Linked DNA regions of Caenorhabditis elegans. The protein of the gene in region 1 interacts with the protein of each later gene in a pairwise test. Each region holds a gene or a part of one and is shown on either strand. Other genes may lie near its edges.

Region 1 (7,184 bases):
TTCCGTCTGAAAATCGCTGAAAATTTCAAAAAAAACCAATATTTTCCAGGACGTCAACTATTCCTTCGTGACGCTACACTCAATCTCTCTGACGTCACACTTATTGGAGCACAAGATGAAGTCGAAATTGATGAGAGCCTCTTTGATAATGAGGTTTCTGGAAAAAACCACTGAAAAATCGATTTTTTACTGAAAATTTACGATTTTCTATTAAAAAATTGCATGAAAAACATGCAAATTCATTGGAAATTGTCGATTTTCGAGTTTTTTTCGGTGAAAATCCGAAAATTTTTTTTTCTTTTTTGAAACGTTCCCTTTTAAAACCTGGAAAAATGTAAAAATTCGCTAAAATCCCCATTTTTTCACTGAAAAATTAGACATTTTTTACTCAAAATTTATTTTTCCATGGAAAACTCTGTTTTTGAGCTAAAAAAAATGCAAAAAATCTGGATTTTTCCGAAGAAAAAGCTTCAAAATTTACAAAATTTGGCATTTTTGGCTGAAAATTCACGATTTTCCACTTTAAAAGTGAATTTTTTGTGATAAACTTCATATTTTCTATCAAAAAATTGAAATTTTCTCACTAAAATTCCGATTTTCTATGGAAAAAACGCCAAAATTCCCACATTTTTCAGTGAAAAGCTACTTGAAAACGCGAAAAATTGCAATTTTATTCCAAAAATTGTTCGAAATTTCGAGTTTTTCTCATAAAATTGATTAATTTCAAGATGAAAATTCGATTTTACTGCCTAAAATGATCAAATTTTCCGATTTTCAACATAAAAAACCTCCAAAAATCCCATTTTTTAGCCTAAAAAACCCCAAAAAATCTCAAATTTCCACTCAAAAAAACCCATTTTTTCCAGGAACTCGAAGGTCTTGAAATGGATTCCGAAGAAGAAGAAGAAGACGATGAAGAATAGGATTTCCCCTCAATTTATTGCATTTTTCTGTGATTTTTCGCCATTTTTTCGGCGAAAAATCCCGTAATTTATCCATTTTTTTGCCCCCCAGTTTTTGTTGATTTTCACGGTTTTTCGTTTCAATTTTTTCCATTTTTTTGCGTAAAGATTTGTTTTAGTTTTAACCTTTTTTTTTGAATTTTTCGCTGTTTTTATCAGCTTTTTTATCGATTTTTTATTGAAAATTTTTGGCGATGAGTCATCAGTTTTTATCAAACTTTTTTGGAGAGTTTTGTGACTCATTTTTACTCAATTTTCAGCGGAAATTTGGTGTTTTGAAGGTTTTTTTTGTAAAAATCGCAAAAAATGCGATTTTTAGCTTGAAATTTCATTTTCCGCTAGAAAAATGTTCAAAATTGCCATTTTTTGGAATTTTTATTCAATTTTTCTACTCAAATTTCCTAAAAATGTCTATTTTCCAACTCAAATTCAGTTTTTTTTTCCGTTGAAAACTGTTCAAAACTCTAACTTTTAAATTAAAATTCAATTTTTTCCATTGAATAATTATTTAAAATCCGATTTTTGATTAATAAATTCAAAAATTATTCACTTAATAATTTTTTCACTTAAAAAAGGTTCAAAAATGTGAAAAAATCCAATTTTCAGCCGAAAAAATCGATATTTCCCACGAAAATTGTGCATTATTTCCGGCTCAACGCGGAGCTGCACCTGTAACTTGTAATTGTGAGTTTTAATTTGCGAAAATCATAATTTTTCAGCTTAAAAGTATGGAAAACGTCGAAAAATGCGATTTTTCTACTCAAAAAAAGCCGGAATTTCCAATTTTCCAGCTGAAAACTGTTAAAAATCGCGTTTTTCAGCTCAAAAAACCCGAAAAATCCAAATTTTCAGATGTCCTACAACGGCTCCTACCATCAAAATCATCATTCAACACTTCAAGTCAAATCGAAATTTGATTCTGAATGGCGTCGTTTCTCAATACCAATGCATTCTGCGTCTGGTGTCTCTTACGATGGGTTCCGGAGGTGATTTTTGGCCATTTTTAGCCGAAAAATCGAAAAATTCAGCGTTTTTTTTTTACCTAAAATACGTCAAAACCCATGTTTTTGACGTAGAAAAACGTTAAAAATTGATTTCTCTACCCAAAAGTTACTGAAATTGTCATTTTTAGGCATAAAATCCCTTAAAATTCAGAAAATCGGATTTTCAACGATTTTCAGCTGAAAAATCCAAGGATTCGGCGTTTTTTGTCCTAAAATACGCGGAAAATGATTTTTTTTACTTGAAAAAATCAGATTTTTTCCGATTTTTACCTTGAAAACCCTAAAAAATCTATTTTCCAAACCAAACTTGGCCAAAATCGGCATTTTTAGGGCTAAAATCATGCGTAAATCGAATTTTCGCCATTTTCAGCCGGAAAATCGAAAAATTCGTCTTTTTTTTTGTGTTTTTTTTTACCAAAAACGAGCGGAAAATGATATTTTACCTGAAAACTCGATTTTTGAAGCAATTTTCCCGTAAAAGTTCAATTTTTCAAGTAAAAATCGATATTTTCAGCCTTGTCGAGAAGCTTCATCACCTGGAAAGTGTCCAATTCACACTGTGCTACAACTCGACTGGCGGTGATCTTCTACCAATCACAAATGACGATGTTAGTAGCGGAAAACTGAAGAAAATTGATTTTTTCAGTGAAAAAAAAAACGAAAAAATCGAGTAAAAATGACATAAAATTGATATTTTTCACTAAAAAATGCTAAAAATTCAATTAAAATGTCTCGAAAATTGATTTTTTCAGCTTAAAGTTAGTCAAAATCGATTTTTAAAACAGCTCAAAAATCGTTAAAAAATAAAAATAATAATAATAAAAAAATCGATTTAATATTCGGGTGTCTCCTACGAGGACAAAAAATCGATCGATTTGAAAACTCACAGAAAAGTCGAAAAAAATCACAAAAAATCAATTAAAAATTGATTTAAAAACTCAAAAAATCGATAAAAATCTCAAAAAAAAATCGATAAAAATCGATAAAAAGTCTATAAAAATCTGAATGTTAGTAGGGAAAACTGAAGAAAATTGATTTTTTCGGTGAAAAAATCGAGAAAAATCGAGTAAAAATGACCTAAAATTGATATTTTTCACTAAAAAATGCTGAAAATTACTAAAACATCACTTATCGATAAAAATCACAAAATTTCGCTAAAAAATCACTAAACATCTTAAAAAATCGATAAAAAGTCCTAAACTACAAAAAATTGATTTAAAAAAATCGAAAAAAGTCTCAAAAAATTGAAACAAAAATCACAAAAATTCGGTGAAAAATCCCCAAAAAATCAATAAAAATCACAAAAAGAATCGATAAAAAATTACAAAAAAACTCAAAAATCGCTTTAAAAAATCAATACAAAACCCCAAGAAATCGGAAAAAATCGATAAAAAATCGATAAAAATCTGTTGAAAAATCACAAAAATTCGGTAAAAAATCCCCAAAAAATCAATAAAAATCACAAAAAGAATCGATAAATTCCTAGAAAAATCCCAAAAATCGATAAAATCCCAAAACTACCATTATTTTTTTTGCAGAACCTCCGAAAATCGTTCGAATCGGCTCGCCCACTGCTCCGTTTGCTCATTCAACGCCGCGGTGAATCATGGGAAGAGAAATATGGTTATGGTACAGACTCTGATAAACGATGGAAGGGAATTTCATCACTTATGGCACAAAAACCACCGAAACGCAGTTATTCAATCTCGAATCCCGAAGATTTTCGACAGGTAATGGGTCTCACAGCGAAAAAAGTGGAATTTTTGAATTCAGCTCGCTGAGAGCTTCGAAATAAGTATAATCATGACCGGGTTACGATGGATTTGAAAAAAGTTGGGTCTCGCCACGAAAAATCGAAACCACAGTAATCCCGTTTCGTGATGGGACCCAAAAATTTCAAATTTCGCAGAACCTAGTCATGATTATACTTATTTGAAAGCTATTGATGAGTTGAATTCAAATTCCGGAAAAAATTTTGAAAATTTCAATTTTTGGTCCCACCACGAAGGAAATTTTCGCTGCGGGACCCAAAATTTTGGAAATCTTCAAATTTTCCGGAGCCCAGTCATGATTATACTTATTTGAAAGCTCTCGGTGAGCTGAATTCGGTTGAACTCATGAAATTGCAAAAATCTGGTCCCGCCACGAAAGTGCCAACCTACAGTAACCCCAATTTCGCGGTGGGACCCGCATATTTCAAAGTTAACGGAACCCATGATTATACTAGTTTTAAAGCTGACAGTGCTCCCAATTCAAAAATATTGATAAAAATCTCAAAAATTGGATCCCACCACCACGAAAATGCCAACATACAGTAATCCCATTTTCGTGGCGAGACCAACAATTTTCAAAGTTCGCGGAACCTAGTCATTCCATTATACTTGTTTGAAAGCTCCCAGTGAGCTGAATTCAGATTTCGCAGTAATTTTCTAAAATTTCGTCACTTTTCGTGGCGGGACCCAAATTTTAGGAGAATTTTCAAAATTGGCAAAACCTAGTCATGATTATACTTATTTTGAAGCCCTTAACGAGCTGAATTCAAATTTCCCATTAATTTTTAAAAATTTTCAATTTTGCAGGTCTCTGCAATCATCGACGTGGACATTGTGCCAGAAGCTCATCGCCGTGTCCGTCTCTGCAAGCACGGACAAGAACGACCACTTGGATTCTATATTCGGTATCGATTTTTCTGGAAATTTCAGATTTCTTGCCAGAAAATCCCAAAAATCTGCAATTCTTTTTTCAGTGACGGAACATCGGTTCGAGTGACAGAACGAGGCGTCGTCAAAGTTTCAGGAATTTTCATTTCCCGGCTTGTCGATGGTGGGCTCGCCGAGTCCACAGGCCTTCTTGGTGTTAATGACGAGGTTTTTAATGGAATTTTCAGAGTTTTTAATCTAAAAATTCCGGTTTTCAGGTGCTCGAGGTGAATGGAATTGAGGTTCTCGGAAAGACGCTGGATCAGGTCACTGATATGATGGTCGCCAATGCTCATAACTTGATTATTACTGGTATATAATCCGGAAATTTGAATTCAGCACGCCGAGAGCTTTGAAATAAGTATAATCATGACTAGGTTAAGATTATTTTGAAAAAAATTGGGTCTCACCGCGAAAATTGCGAGAACCCACTTTTTAAAAAATTTCATTAGAAAATTTGAATTCAGCACACCGAGAGCTTTCAAATGCGTATAATCATGGCTATATTCTGTCAAACTTGGAAAATTCGGGTCTCGCCAAGAAAATGATAAACTACAGTAACCCATTTTCGCGATGGGACCCAAAATTTTCGCATGTGACGCAATCTTGTCGTGTTTATACTTATTTGAAAGCCCTTGATGAGCTGAAAACGAATTTACTAAAAAATTTGAGAAGTTTCAATTTTTGGGCCCGACCACGAAACTGATTTTCGCGATGAGACCCAAAATTTTGGAAAAAATTAGATTTTCGCCAAACCTAGTCATTATTATACTAGTTTTGAAGCTCTTGGTAAGATGAAATCGAAAAATCTAATTGAAATAGCGAAAATTGGGTATCACCACGAAAATCGCTGCCTACAGTAACCCAGTTTTCGTGGTGGGGTCCGAAAATTTAAAATTTCGCATAACCTAGTCTTGATTATGTTTATTTTAAAGCTCTAGGCGAGCGGAAGTTGAATTATTTAACAAAAATCTAAAATTTCAATTTTGGGGCACGACCACGAAATTGGCTTTCGCGGTGGGACCCAACATTTTGGAAAATTTTAAATGTCCGCCAACCTAGTCATAATTATACTTATTTGAAAGCTCGGTAAGCTGAAATCGAAAAATCTAAATGAAATCGCGAAAACTGGGTCCCCCACTAAAATCCCAACCTACAGTAACCCAGTTTTCGTGGCGGGACCCAAAATTTCGGAAAATGTTCAAAATAAACATAGCCTAGTCATGATTATACTTGTTTGGAAGCTCTCAGCGAGCTGATTTTAAATTCTGTAGTAATTATAAAAAACAAAATTTTCAGAAATTTTTTTTCGAAAAAAAAATTTCAAATTTATTTTTTTTTTGAAAATTCAAAAAATCCCAATATTTTCCAGTAAAACCTGCCAACCAACGAAACACACTGTCACGAGGACCGTCACAACAAGGAACACCGAACGCCAGTGAGATGTCGGCCGCCACCGCAGCCGCTACAGGTGGAATTCAGCGCCCGATGAAAATGAACGGAAGCTCCGACGGCAGTTATCATCCGAAACAGCACGACGCAAATGATTCGGACAGTGGAGAGGACTGAAAAACTCTTTTCAGCCATTTTTCCTCGATTTTTTCAGAAAAAAAAACCACAAAATGTGACCATTTTTATACATAATTATATTATTTATATTCTCGCTAAAACCACACACACACACAACCAAAACCGCTTAATTTATTTATTTTCCCCTTTTTCTCCTAATTTTTAATCAAATTTGTCGGCTTTCTCTTCACTTTTTTGCGCACAATTTTCACTTTTATTTCCCCCGTTTCTCGCCCCAAAATGTGCCTTCCTTTCGCCCTTTTTATGTGATTTTTCCCCTTCAGAGCTCTCTGAGCCCATACTTTTTTTTTCGAACTTTGGCTCAAATTTTTTGACAACAGACACGACATACAATTTTTCCCCTGAAATTCACATTATTAGTGAGAATAAATTATTTATTTCAAGCTTTGAGAGATCAGCATTGTGAAAAAAATGTTGCCATTACGGGGACTCGAACCATGGCCTTTTGACTGGAAGCTTTTTCGTCGAAAATCCCACTGCTCCATTTGGACATTTTTGACAATTTCCCAGAAATGACATAATTTCGGGTAAATTTGAATTTTATTGAGTTCTTGACGATTTAAGGCTTTAAAAACTGAGAAAATCTACATTTTCAGCCGATATTCCGCTGATTATTCTCAAATTCTTATTTTTCAAGGTTTTTCTCTGCTGTTTAGGAATTGATATTATAATTTTTGGGTTGAGAATTGAAAGTTTAGCCTAACAACACTATGGAAAAAAGTTTGCCACAGTGGAGACTCGAACCACGGTCCTTTGACTGGAAGCTTTTTCGTCGAAAATCCCACTGCGCCATTTGTACAGCATTTTTGAAAAGTGCCCAGTAATGAAAAGTCTGTAATAAAATGTTACCTTTGAGTGATTTTTTGATGATTTAATGTTATAAAATCTGTGCAAATCTGAAGTTTCAGTTGATTTCCTACAAGAATGAG
Region 2 (5,876 bases), 1.7 Mb from region 1:
TAAGTATTTAATATACACTGCTGTAGGTCTTTAATATCGTTATAAATTTTAATATACGCTATAGGTTCTTAATATACACTTTAGGTATTTTATATTCGCTATAGGTTTTTAATATACACTATAGGTATTTATATTTGCTATAGTTCTTTAATATACGCTATACATAAGTATTTAATATACACTGTAAGTTCTAAATACCCCCATAGGTTCATAATATACGCCATAGATCTTTAATATCGTTATGAATTTTAATATACGCTATAAGTTTTTAACATTGCTATTGGTATTTAATATAAGCTATACATATGTTTCAATATCGACATAGTAGGTATTTAAAATACGCTTGCTCGCTTTAGAGTGCCTAGCTCAATTTTCCACATAGTTCAGATCAGTTAAGAGAACTATAACCTTTACTATTTTAACACATAGTTTGCAAGAATTCAATGAATTTTGATGGTTTTCCCCATTATTTCACACACATGAATCTGAATTTAAGAAAATCTTTGATTATTATTAGGATTTTTTTCATAATTCGTGTATATTTTGCAAGATAACAGATAAACACACATATATATCATTACTAAACAAAATGTGTAGTGATTTAAATGAGTTTCTCAATGGAAGCTTGATGATCATCCGGAGCGTATTGCAATCCATTATACAACTTGTAGAAGCAATCATGACAATATGGCTTCAGATCATGTTCTCTGTAGGTTCCATGCATGTTGAGTGCCTTCTGACAATATGTGCACATGAAATGATAGGTATGGAATTTCTGTGCCCGTTCCGAGTTTGGCGCCAACGCTGTCAGAATCGCGCCGTCGATTTCTTCACTGCAGTAAGCGCAGACTGCGGCGGCCGGTGGCGGTGGGGAGCCGGAGATGTGGAGCGTTCGGCGGGGAGTTGTGCTTCGGGCGCGGCGGCGGCGCAGGCTATCGGTCTCCTCGGACATTTGGACTCCGTATTGGCGGGAGTAGTCGTCTGTCTCCATATTGTCGTCCTCTGCTGGAATTTTTCGAATTCTACATTTTTTGGTCCAAGTTCTGAAAACTCACGAATCTTTGGCCTCTGCGGGATTTGTTCCTCTGGTGCCGGTGTAAGTCTCAAGGTGTACTCGATTTCCTCCTTCTTCTTCTTATTTCCATCTTCACCGTCACGTCCACGTTGTCCACGACGCAAAACTTCAGTCGTGGCGTTGACATCGTAAACAAGGGCCGCCAATGTGTCGGTCACCGCGTTTTGTCCTGAAAATGGATTCGGTGAAAGTTAAGAACAGACCTGAAGCTGGGGGAGGAGGTCCAGTTGGGCCCTAAAGCTATTGTTGGAGGTCTAGGTAAGGTCTGAATTAGGCTTGAAGCTTAGAAAGGGTTAGGGAGGGTCTATATGAGATCTGATGCTTAGGAAGGGCATAGAGGGGCCTGAAGCTTGATATGGGGCCTAGATGGGATCAGGGGCTTAGGATAGGACTTGAATGAGGACTGAAGCATAATACGGAGCCTAGGTAAGATCGAAGGTTTTGGATAGACCTAGCTGGAATCTAGAGCTCAGAATATGGTCTAGAGGGGCCTGAAGCCAAGGACAACGTCTAAATGAGTCAAAGGCTCAGAATGGGGGAGAAGTGGTTCTGATGCTTAGGATAGGGCATATGTTGGATCTGATGCTTAGGAAGGGCCTTGACGGGACTGAAGCTAAAATGGCTTCTGAAGCTTACATGGGGTCTAGGTGGAGTCTGAGGCCTAGCATAGGCTTTGGATAATGTCTGAAGCATAATACGGAGTCTAAATATGATCGAATGCTATGGATAGACCTAGCTGGAATCTAGATGTGCCCTAAAGCCTAGAAAGAATTATGTAGCAGATTATAGATGCGATCTGAACCTATTAAGGGTTCTAACGAGATCTTACTCTGATCCTGTTTCAGCTTGACAAGCTGCTGATTCATGTCATCCGAGCTAACAGCTTTCAACCTTGCGGCCAGCCAATCGTCGGTCGGATCAATCGAGATTCTACCATTGACTTCCATCTCGGTTTGGAATTGACGACGTTCCATTCTCTGAAACAAATTTCAATGTATTCCCGCACAAGATCTGAAAAAATCGATACCATCTGTTCTTGTTTGCGACGAATGATCTCGGTCGTCTGCTCGACATCGTTTTTCAACGCGGTAAGTGTTCCATTAACGATCTCGTCTTCTGCAAAATGTAAGGGATAGAGACAGAGAGATTTTGATGATCTGAGAGGTTTGTTGCTTAAAAATGTGCACCACTTTTTTTTTGGGTATTTCCTTAAAAAACGGCTGCATAAGAAAGTTGGAAATGACTCTTTTATAAGCAAATTTTGAATAAAATCTGATGTTGAGAATCAAAATTTAGCTGAAAATCCGAAATTCCTGTGGGAAGGTCTAGCTAAAAAATGGCACGGAAATAAGAAAATTAGGTATAGAAATTAAGCCTAAGCCTAAGCCTGAGCCTAATCCGAAGTCAAAGCCTAAGCCTAAGCCTAAACCGAAGTCAAAGCCTAAGCCTAAGCCTAAACCTAATGCTTAACTGCTCAAAACTAGCAAATTAATAGGGACCGTTTTTGATCCAAATCGTACAATTTTTGGTCAAAATCCAACTTTTCTGATCAAAATCGGAATTGGACTATTTTCAATCAAAACTGGACTATTTTCGGTCAAAATCCGACCTTTTTAAGCCAAAAATGATAGATTTTTGGGCGAATTTTGGACAATTTTTGGTCTAAATCCGACTGTTTTCAGTCAAAATTGGTCAAAAACGTGCAATTTTTGTCAAAATCGGACTACTTTTTGGTCAAAATCAGATAATTTTTGGAGAAAATCGGTCAATTTTTGGTCAAAATCAGACAATTTTTGGTGAAAATCGGTCAATTTTTGGTTAAAATCGGTCAATTTTTGGTTAAAATCGGTCAATTTTTGGTTAAAATCGGTCAATTTTTAGTTCAAATCCGGCTTTTTTTTGTTAAAAATCGGTAAATTTTTGGTCAAAATTGGACCATTTTGGTCAAATTCAAACCATTTATTGGTAAAAACATAACAATTGTTTGGTCAAAATTAGATAATTTGTGATCGGAATGAAACCATTTTTTTGGTTAAAATTGGACTATTTTCAATCAAAACTGGACTATTTTCGGTCAAAATCCGACCTTTTTAAGCCAAAAATGATAGATTTTTGGGCGAATTTTGGACAATTTTTGGTCTAAATCCGACTGTTTTCAGTCAAAATTGGACCATTTTGGTCAAATTCAAACCATTTATTGGTAAAAACATAACAATTGTTTGGTCAAAATTAGATAATTTGTGATCGAAATGAAACCATTTTTTGGTTAAAATTGGTCTATTTTCAATCAAAACTGGACTATTTTCGGTCAAAATCCGACCTTTTTAAACCAAAAATGATAGATTTTTGGGCGAATTTTGGACAATTTTTGGTCTAAATCCGACTGTTTTCAGTCAAAATTGGACCATTTTTGGGTAAAATCCAATCATTTTCTGTTAATTTTGACATTCTAGTATAGTTAACACAAAATTTTGTTATTTTCAAAGTTAATTGAGTATTACACCTCAATTCTTTAGTTTAACATTTCCCATTAGTTTAACATACCCCCCCCCCCCCCCCCCAGAGGACCCCCTAACTTCGACTCACGTTGACTAAACTCCTCATCATTACGGAACACCTTATCCTTATTGGAATTCCTGCTCTCACTACGCCACCGGGCCACGTGGCGCTCCACAGGATCCGGAATCGCAGAGAGCCGACCATCCTGAGACGGGGTCCCGGTGCCATGTCTCTGTTGACTACTACGAGATTCCGTAGTCCATTGATAAGATTCGAATTGTTGATGGCTGGGTTGAGGGGATATAGTCATCTGGAATTTTGAGTAGGAGGAGGAGGTGAACATTTTTGGGTTTTTCTGTGAGACTGAGTAAGAGGTTAATAATGGCATTTTCAATATTTAACTAGTGTGCACCTAAATTCTAGGTGTCTAAATAAAAAAGTATAATACAACAAATAAAGAAAAAAATCGTGTTAGTTCAAATTCGTGTAAAGGAAAACGTAGAGGAAAATCGACACAGCAGTGGTACACTGATGTGTATGAAGGGAGAGGAAAGCAAGAAGCAGCAACAGAAATATATTACAACATATGCTCTCACCGGCAGAAGAGAGCAGGCTACTGCGGGGGCAGAATCTGCCCGGCAGATGATGGTGAGGAGAAGACAATGAGGAATGAGAGATAGAGACGAAGATCGAGGAGTCTACAAAGATCGATTTGTTGAAATTATTTGAATTTTTTGCTCTTTTTTTTTTGAATTTGTTACCGTGAGTTAGGGTATTAACTAGTACCATAATACTATGCACGTATACTATACGGTAATTAAAGGTGGAGTAGCGCCAGTGGGGAAATTATTAAAAACCACTCCTTTGGTCCAAAAATGACCAAATATCATGATAAAACTTTTCAAAAAATTTTTGAAAATTTTTTATTTACTGTCAAAAAGTAGTGACTGTAGTGATTACTCAGTTTTGCCACTCATTATTTTGGAGGTCGATTGATTCAAAAAAAAAAAAAAAAATTTCCAATTTTTTTAATACTTTTTAATACAATTTTGTTTAAATTATTTGAATTAAAACATTGTAGGGGTCGAAACATGCGACATTTTTATAAATTTCCTCAAAATCTCGTAGTTTTCAAAATTTTGGCAATGTGCCAAAACTTTGACCGGAAATTATGGAAAATCTAAAAAATTTTGGAGTGCTTTATTATGATATGTTTGGATTTTTTGGATTTTTTTTCTTATGATATAAGTGTATTTAGACAAAATCCCCAAAAACTGCCAACTGACAAGCAATTTGTTACACGGTCTTATAAATTTTTTAAAACAACATTTGTATATAGCTCAGGGGTGGGCGGTAATAGCAAAAAAAACTGGGCAAATCGGCAAATTTTCGGTTTGCCGAGTTGCCGGACAATTTCAATTTCGGAATTTGCCGGTTTGCCGGAAATTTTCAATTCCGGCAATTTGCGGGTTTGTCCGACTTGCCGGAAATTTTTATTTTCGGCAATTTTCCGGTTTGCCAAGTTTCCAGAATTTTTCATTTTTGGCAAATTGCCGGTTTGCCGAGTTGCCGGAAATTTTCAATTCCGGCAGTTTGCCGATTTGTCGAAAATTTTCAATTTCAGCAAATTGCTGGTTTGCCGATTTGCCGGACAGTTTCAATTTCGGAATTTGCCGAGTTGTCGAAAATGTTCAATTCCGGCAATTTGCCGGTTTGTCCGACTTGCCGGAAATTTTTATTTTCGGCAATATTCCGGTTTGCCAAGTTTCCCGAATTTTTCAATTTCAGCAAATTGCTGGTTTGCCGATTTGCCGGACAGTTTCAATTTCGGAATTTGCCGAGTTGTCGAAAATGTTCAATTCCGGCAAATTGCCGGTTTGTCCGACTTGCCGGAAATTTTTATTTTCGGCAATATTCCGGTTTGCCAAGTTTCCCGAATTTTTCAATTTCAGCAAATTGCTGGTTTGCCGATTTGCCGGACAGTTTCAATTTCGGAATTTGCCGAGTTGTCGAAAATGTTCAATTCCGGCAAATTGCCGGTTTGTCCGACTTGCCGGAAATTTTTATTTTCGGCAATATTCCGGTTTGCCAAGTTTCCCGAATTTTTCAATTTCAGCAAATTGCTGGTTTGCCGATTTGCCGGACAGTTTCAATTTCGGAATTTGCCGAGTTGTCGAAAATGTTCAATTCCGGCAAATTGCCGGTTTGTCCGACTTGCCGGAAATTTTTATTTTCGGCAATATTCCGGTTGGCCAAGTTTCCCGAATTTTTCATTGTCGGCAAATTGCCGGTTTGCCGATTC
Region 3 (3,565 bases), on another chromosome or scaffold:
AAGACTTGAGTTTTCATGTCGGGACCAACCGAAATATTTCAGAACTTTATCAGTGACCCACGATCAATGTTCCCGAAGATGGTGAGAACTAAAAATGCTTTTCACTTCTTGCAATATTTCATGGGAACTTTTCGACGAATGTTCCGAAATAAAACAGAAATGATTGAGCATTTCAATTATTATGATGATCAAGTAAAAGGAACTGATTGTCATATTCAAGAGGAATTGGATTTTGCCAGATTTAAATCATATTTCGATAGATATACAAGAACTCATTACAATCCTGAAATTCGTATTATCTTTGCAATAATGACTAAAGATTCTTCTCATATGACGGTTGAATTCCATGTTACATCACAATCTTGGTTTGGATTCGAAGATCATTTTCATATGATTATCAGAGCGGTTAATGTGAGTTTTCGCGAAAAATCTGACTTAGAAATATGAAAATTTCAGGACGAGAATGTCGGATGGGGAGTTCGTTATCTGAGTATGGCCTTCAATTGCTGAATAGAGATTGGTTCATTCGGAAATATGGAAAGCAAAAATAAAGCACATAAATATATCGAACAGATTAGTTAATGTTGCATTGTCCGTACACAATAAATTATGAATTGTTTCTCTAGAAAGGTCGATAAAATCACTTCAAATCTGCCACTTTTGCCTCGAGAAGCTTCAGCTTTTCAACCACTGACCCGATTTCTTGCTTTCCTTGGGACTGTAATTTCAATAATTTAATTTGTTTATATTCCTCGAAACAATTAAAAAACACACCTCATACTCGATAATCGCTTCTCTTCCTTGCGCGACTTCCTTTTCGAGTTTTTCTCTGATAGTTTTCAAATGTGATAGTCCACCGGCAAAGTGTTGAACTTGTTCGTGAAGACGGTTCAATGCTTTAACCTTATTAACATTGCTTGGAAGAGATGAGCAAGCGACATCCCATTTTTGCATAAGCTCCAGAATTTCATCAACTTTCTTGTCAAGATTCTCGTCGATATCATTGTTGGCGCGTGTCTCGTCGATTTTTTCAAGTTTGGTAAGCATCATATTCAAACGTTGTTCAAGACCGGAGACATACGAATGATTAAGCGTTTCGCATCTCAAACATTTTTCATACGTTTTTATTTTTTTAAATTTAAGATATCTCACCTGAGTTTGAGATCTTCAATGGTGTCAAGTACGGGAGCTGATGGAATAACCGAACTTCCAATAACTTGTTCGATTCTTCTCAACCTATTTTCAAGAGTTGCCACTTTCGAGTCAGTGCGAACATTTGGTAACTCAACATCATGCTCAACTCGTGCAGTTTTTCCATTTGACTGAGCCACTTGCAACGTTTTCACTTCTTTCTCTAGATTCTCAAGAACCTCAGCGTTGAGCAAATCCGTTTTAAGATTTTCATCAGCACGAATTTGTTCATTCAGATCGGCGACTTCGTACAAAATGCGATTCAGTTTTTCGGCTGCAGTCTCGGTTCCCGAAAATCCTGCACCAGTAACTTCCAATACGTATTGATTGTTTCCAAATGCGTGTCGCCGCTTTTTAGCAATCGAGTCAGAAAAATCTAAATTTAAAAAAAAGATGATAAGTAATATTATTTTAAAATTACCGCTTGAAGTCAAGTTCAGTACCCGGTTTTTGTACTTTTTGAGAGCTTCGTCAACGTCAACCGAAATCTGTAAAAATCAGAATTCACTAAATATTTATATTATTTAAATTAATTAAATACAAACCAGTTCGATATCCGGATGAGTTGGATTGTCATTTTCAGGTTCACTTTTTTGAACTTGACTTGCAGCTCCGTCAGACTCGTAGATATCTTCTTTTCCAATAGATGACATTTTGACGCAAGATTTGAGAGTTTCTAGAAAACAGAATTTGATTTAAAATATTTAGGATCAAACGGCAAAAATTTAGAAAAATGAATAAACAAAATGTATGATAGGTTAAAGTAATAAATCGTGCTAGAAACATCAAAATGGCCGTGGAATTGATTGCGAAACAAGTAAATTAGATTGTCCGAGAGGACTACACACAACAATGAGTTACTGCGCTCTACCGGCACGTATTAGAGATTAGAGGCGACAGAGTTCAGTTTTGGCAAAAACGTTCGATTGTTCGAATTTAAACAGTTTTATTGTATTTCGTTCTTTTTATTTATTTTTCTGTAAATTTATTAAATTTTTAAGTTTCAGATGTACTCAGCAAATAGATCTCATCGCGCTGAAACAAGAAATCGCTCAAAAGATGAACTCCGAAAGGTAAACAATCAACTTTTCCAAAACTAAACTGATATTAAGATTTTCAGGTTATCAACTCATTGGAAAAAGTTCGTCGGTGGGAAAAGAAGTTAGTTCTTATCAAGGACACAAATATTCGGATCTACAAATGGGTTCCGGGTAATTTTTTATTTTAACACGTATTTCGGTATTTAGAAACTATTTATATATAAATTTATATGAAATACTTTTTTAAAATAGTAATTATTAAAAAAAAAACTTCACACTTATATTTTTGATACAATTCAATGACTCTGCATTATGAATTAATAACATATTCTGCTATATAAAAGTTTTGAATTTCTCAAAAAAAAAACCAAACTTTCAATACAACTTTTTCAGTGAGCGCTCAAAACATAATGGCTCCTCCAAAGATCAAGGAAGTCAAAGAAGTGGATGAGGAGAGCAATCAAGTCCCATCTGCTGAGAATTCCCAGGATTCCACCAGCGTTACCCAACCACCACCACAATTCGATATCAACGAAGATTCCAATTTTTCCACTGGCGATCACTTTGATAGTGACTCCAATCAAACTTTCGAGCCACAAAACTATCAAGGTGGAGCCACTGGTTCAACGGATTTCAGTTCGATGCGCGACGCTGAAATGACATCAAAACAACCATAAAATCTTTATCTAATGATCTCTAATCTGTACTCATTTTGATTTCATGTTGTATCATATAATCCTGATTCATTCCGAACTTTATCTCATTAATTCAAAAATTTTCATGTTTCATCACATTTATTTTTAATAATTTTTTGTATTCACCAGTTAAAATAACAAGTTAAAACTTTAAATAAAACCCATTTCAGTGCTGTTTTTACAAGTGAATCTGCCATTGAGAGATTTAAATCTTAAAAGATGAGTATCAAAATAGTAATTGTTGCATAGATCAAAGAAAAATGTGAAGAAGAAGAATTCAGAACAAGCTTCTCATTGCGAGGGCAGAATCCGAAAAAAGATTGTAAAGGTTGGGGATATCCATCAGCAATATCAAATACAGATCGGGATGAATTCATTCGAAAAACTTGATTTCCACGTAGAAGATGAATTTCTTTTTCATAAGTGAAGGCAGAATGTACTCCTTTTGGAACTCTCGCCCAATTCAGATCAGTATCTTTTGGATACCTTTCATCAACTCTTCGATGATACATTTTCTCGTCTAATTTCCAATATCGAGATCCTTTCCAAATGTATACAGCAGGCGGACTGAAATGGAAATTATATTTGATTTTATTAAGTTGTGGTCCTGAACGAACCTTTTCAGCTACCGTACCCTCA

Evidence for each region.
Region 2: the proteins of par-6 (region 1) and unc-95 interact in binary tests that used the Caenorhabditis elegans proteins (3 or more experiments, as listed by UniProt).
Region 3: the proteins of par-6 (region 1) and dnc-2 interact in a two-hybrid assay, tested with the Caenorhabditis elegans proteins (3 studies listed by BioGRID, with this or other methods).

Annotation. Positions count from the first base shown.
Region 1 is NC_003279.8:12,667,812-12,674,995, forward strand, and holds par-6 (Partitioning defective protein 6), read left to right. Parts: upstream 1-1,568; 5' UTR 1,569-1,646; intron 1,647-1,814; coding exon 1,815-1,948; intron 1,949-2,480; coding exon 2,481-2,574; intron 2,575-3,504; coding exon 3,505-3,696; intron 3,697-4,443; exon of another isoform or gene 4,444-4,509; intron 4,510-4,545; coding exon 4,546-4,643; intron 4,644-4,712; coding exon 4,713-4,833; intron 4,834-4,883; coding exon 4,884-4,977; intron 4,978-6,037; coding exon 6,038-6,234; 3' UTR 6,235-6,636; downstream 6,637-7,184. Other genes in the region: T26E3.4 (RWD domain-containing protein), read left to right, coding at 50-153, 867-923. UniProt on the Caenorhabditis elegans protein: Necessary for apicobasal and anterior-posterior asymmetries associated with cell adhesion and gastrulation during the first few cell cycles of embryogenesis. Required for localizing/ maintaining par-3 at the cell periphery.
Region 2 is NC_003279.8:14,380,854-14,386,729, forward strand, and holds unc-95 (LIM domain-containing protein unc-95), read right to left. Parts: upstream 3,885-5,876; coding exon 3,662-3,884; intron 2,534-3,661; exon of another isoform or gene 2,446-2,533; intron 2,192-2,445; coding exon 2,103-2,191; intron 2,053-2,102; coding exon 1,905-2,052; intron 1,245-1,904; coding exon 1,056-1,244; intron 1,006-1,055; coding exon 602-1,005; 3' UTR 507-601; downstream 1-506. UniProt on the Caenorhabditis elegans protein: Required for the assembly and integrity of muscle dense bodies, which establish the adhesion sites of the muscle cells to the extracellular matrix.
Region 3 is NC_003281.10:5,923,888-5,927,452, forward strand, and holds dnc-2 (putative dynactin subunit 2), read right to left. Parts: upstream 1,868-3,565; 5' UTR 1,845-1,867; coding exon 1,737-1,844; intron 1,680-1,736; coding exon 1,613-1,679; intron 1,568-1,612; coding exon 1,153-1,567; intron 1,103-1,152; coding exon 775-1,102; intron 719-774; coding exon 641-718; 3' UTR 511-640; downstream 1-510. Other genes in the region: C28H8.2 (uncharacterized protein), read left to right, coding at 43-411, 457-510; bcl-7 (BCL7-like protein), read left to right, coding at 2,199-2,264, 2,312-2,402, 2,625-2,908; zmp-1 (Matrix metalloproteinase-A), read right to left, coding at 3,139-3,493.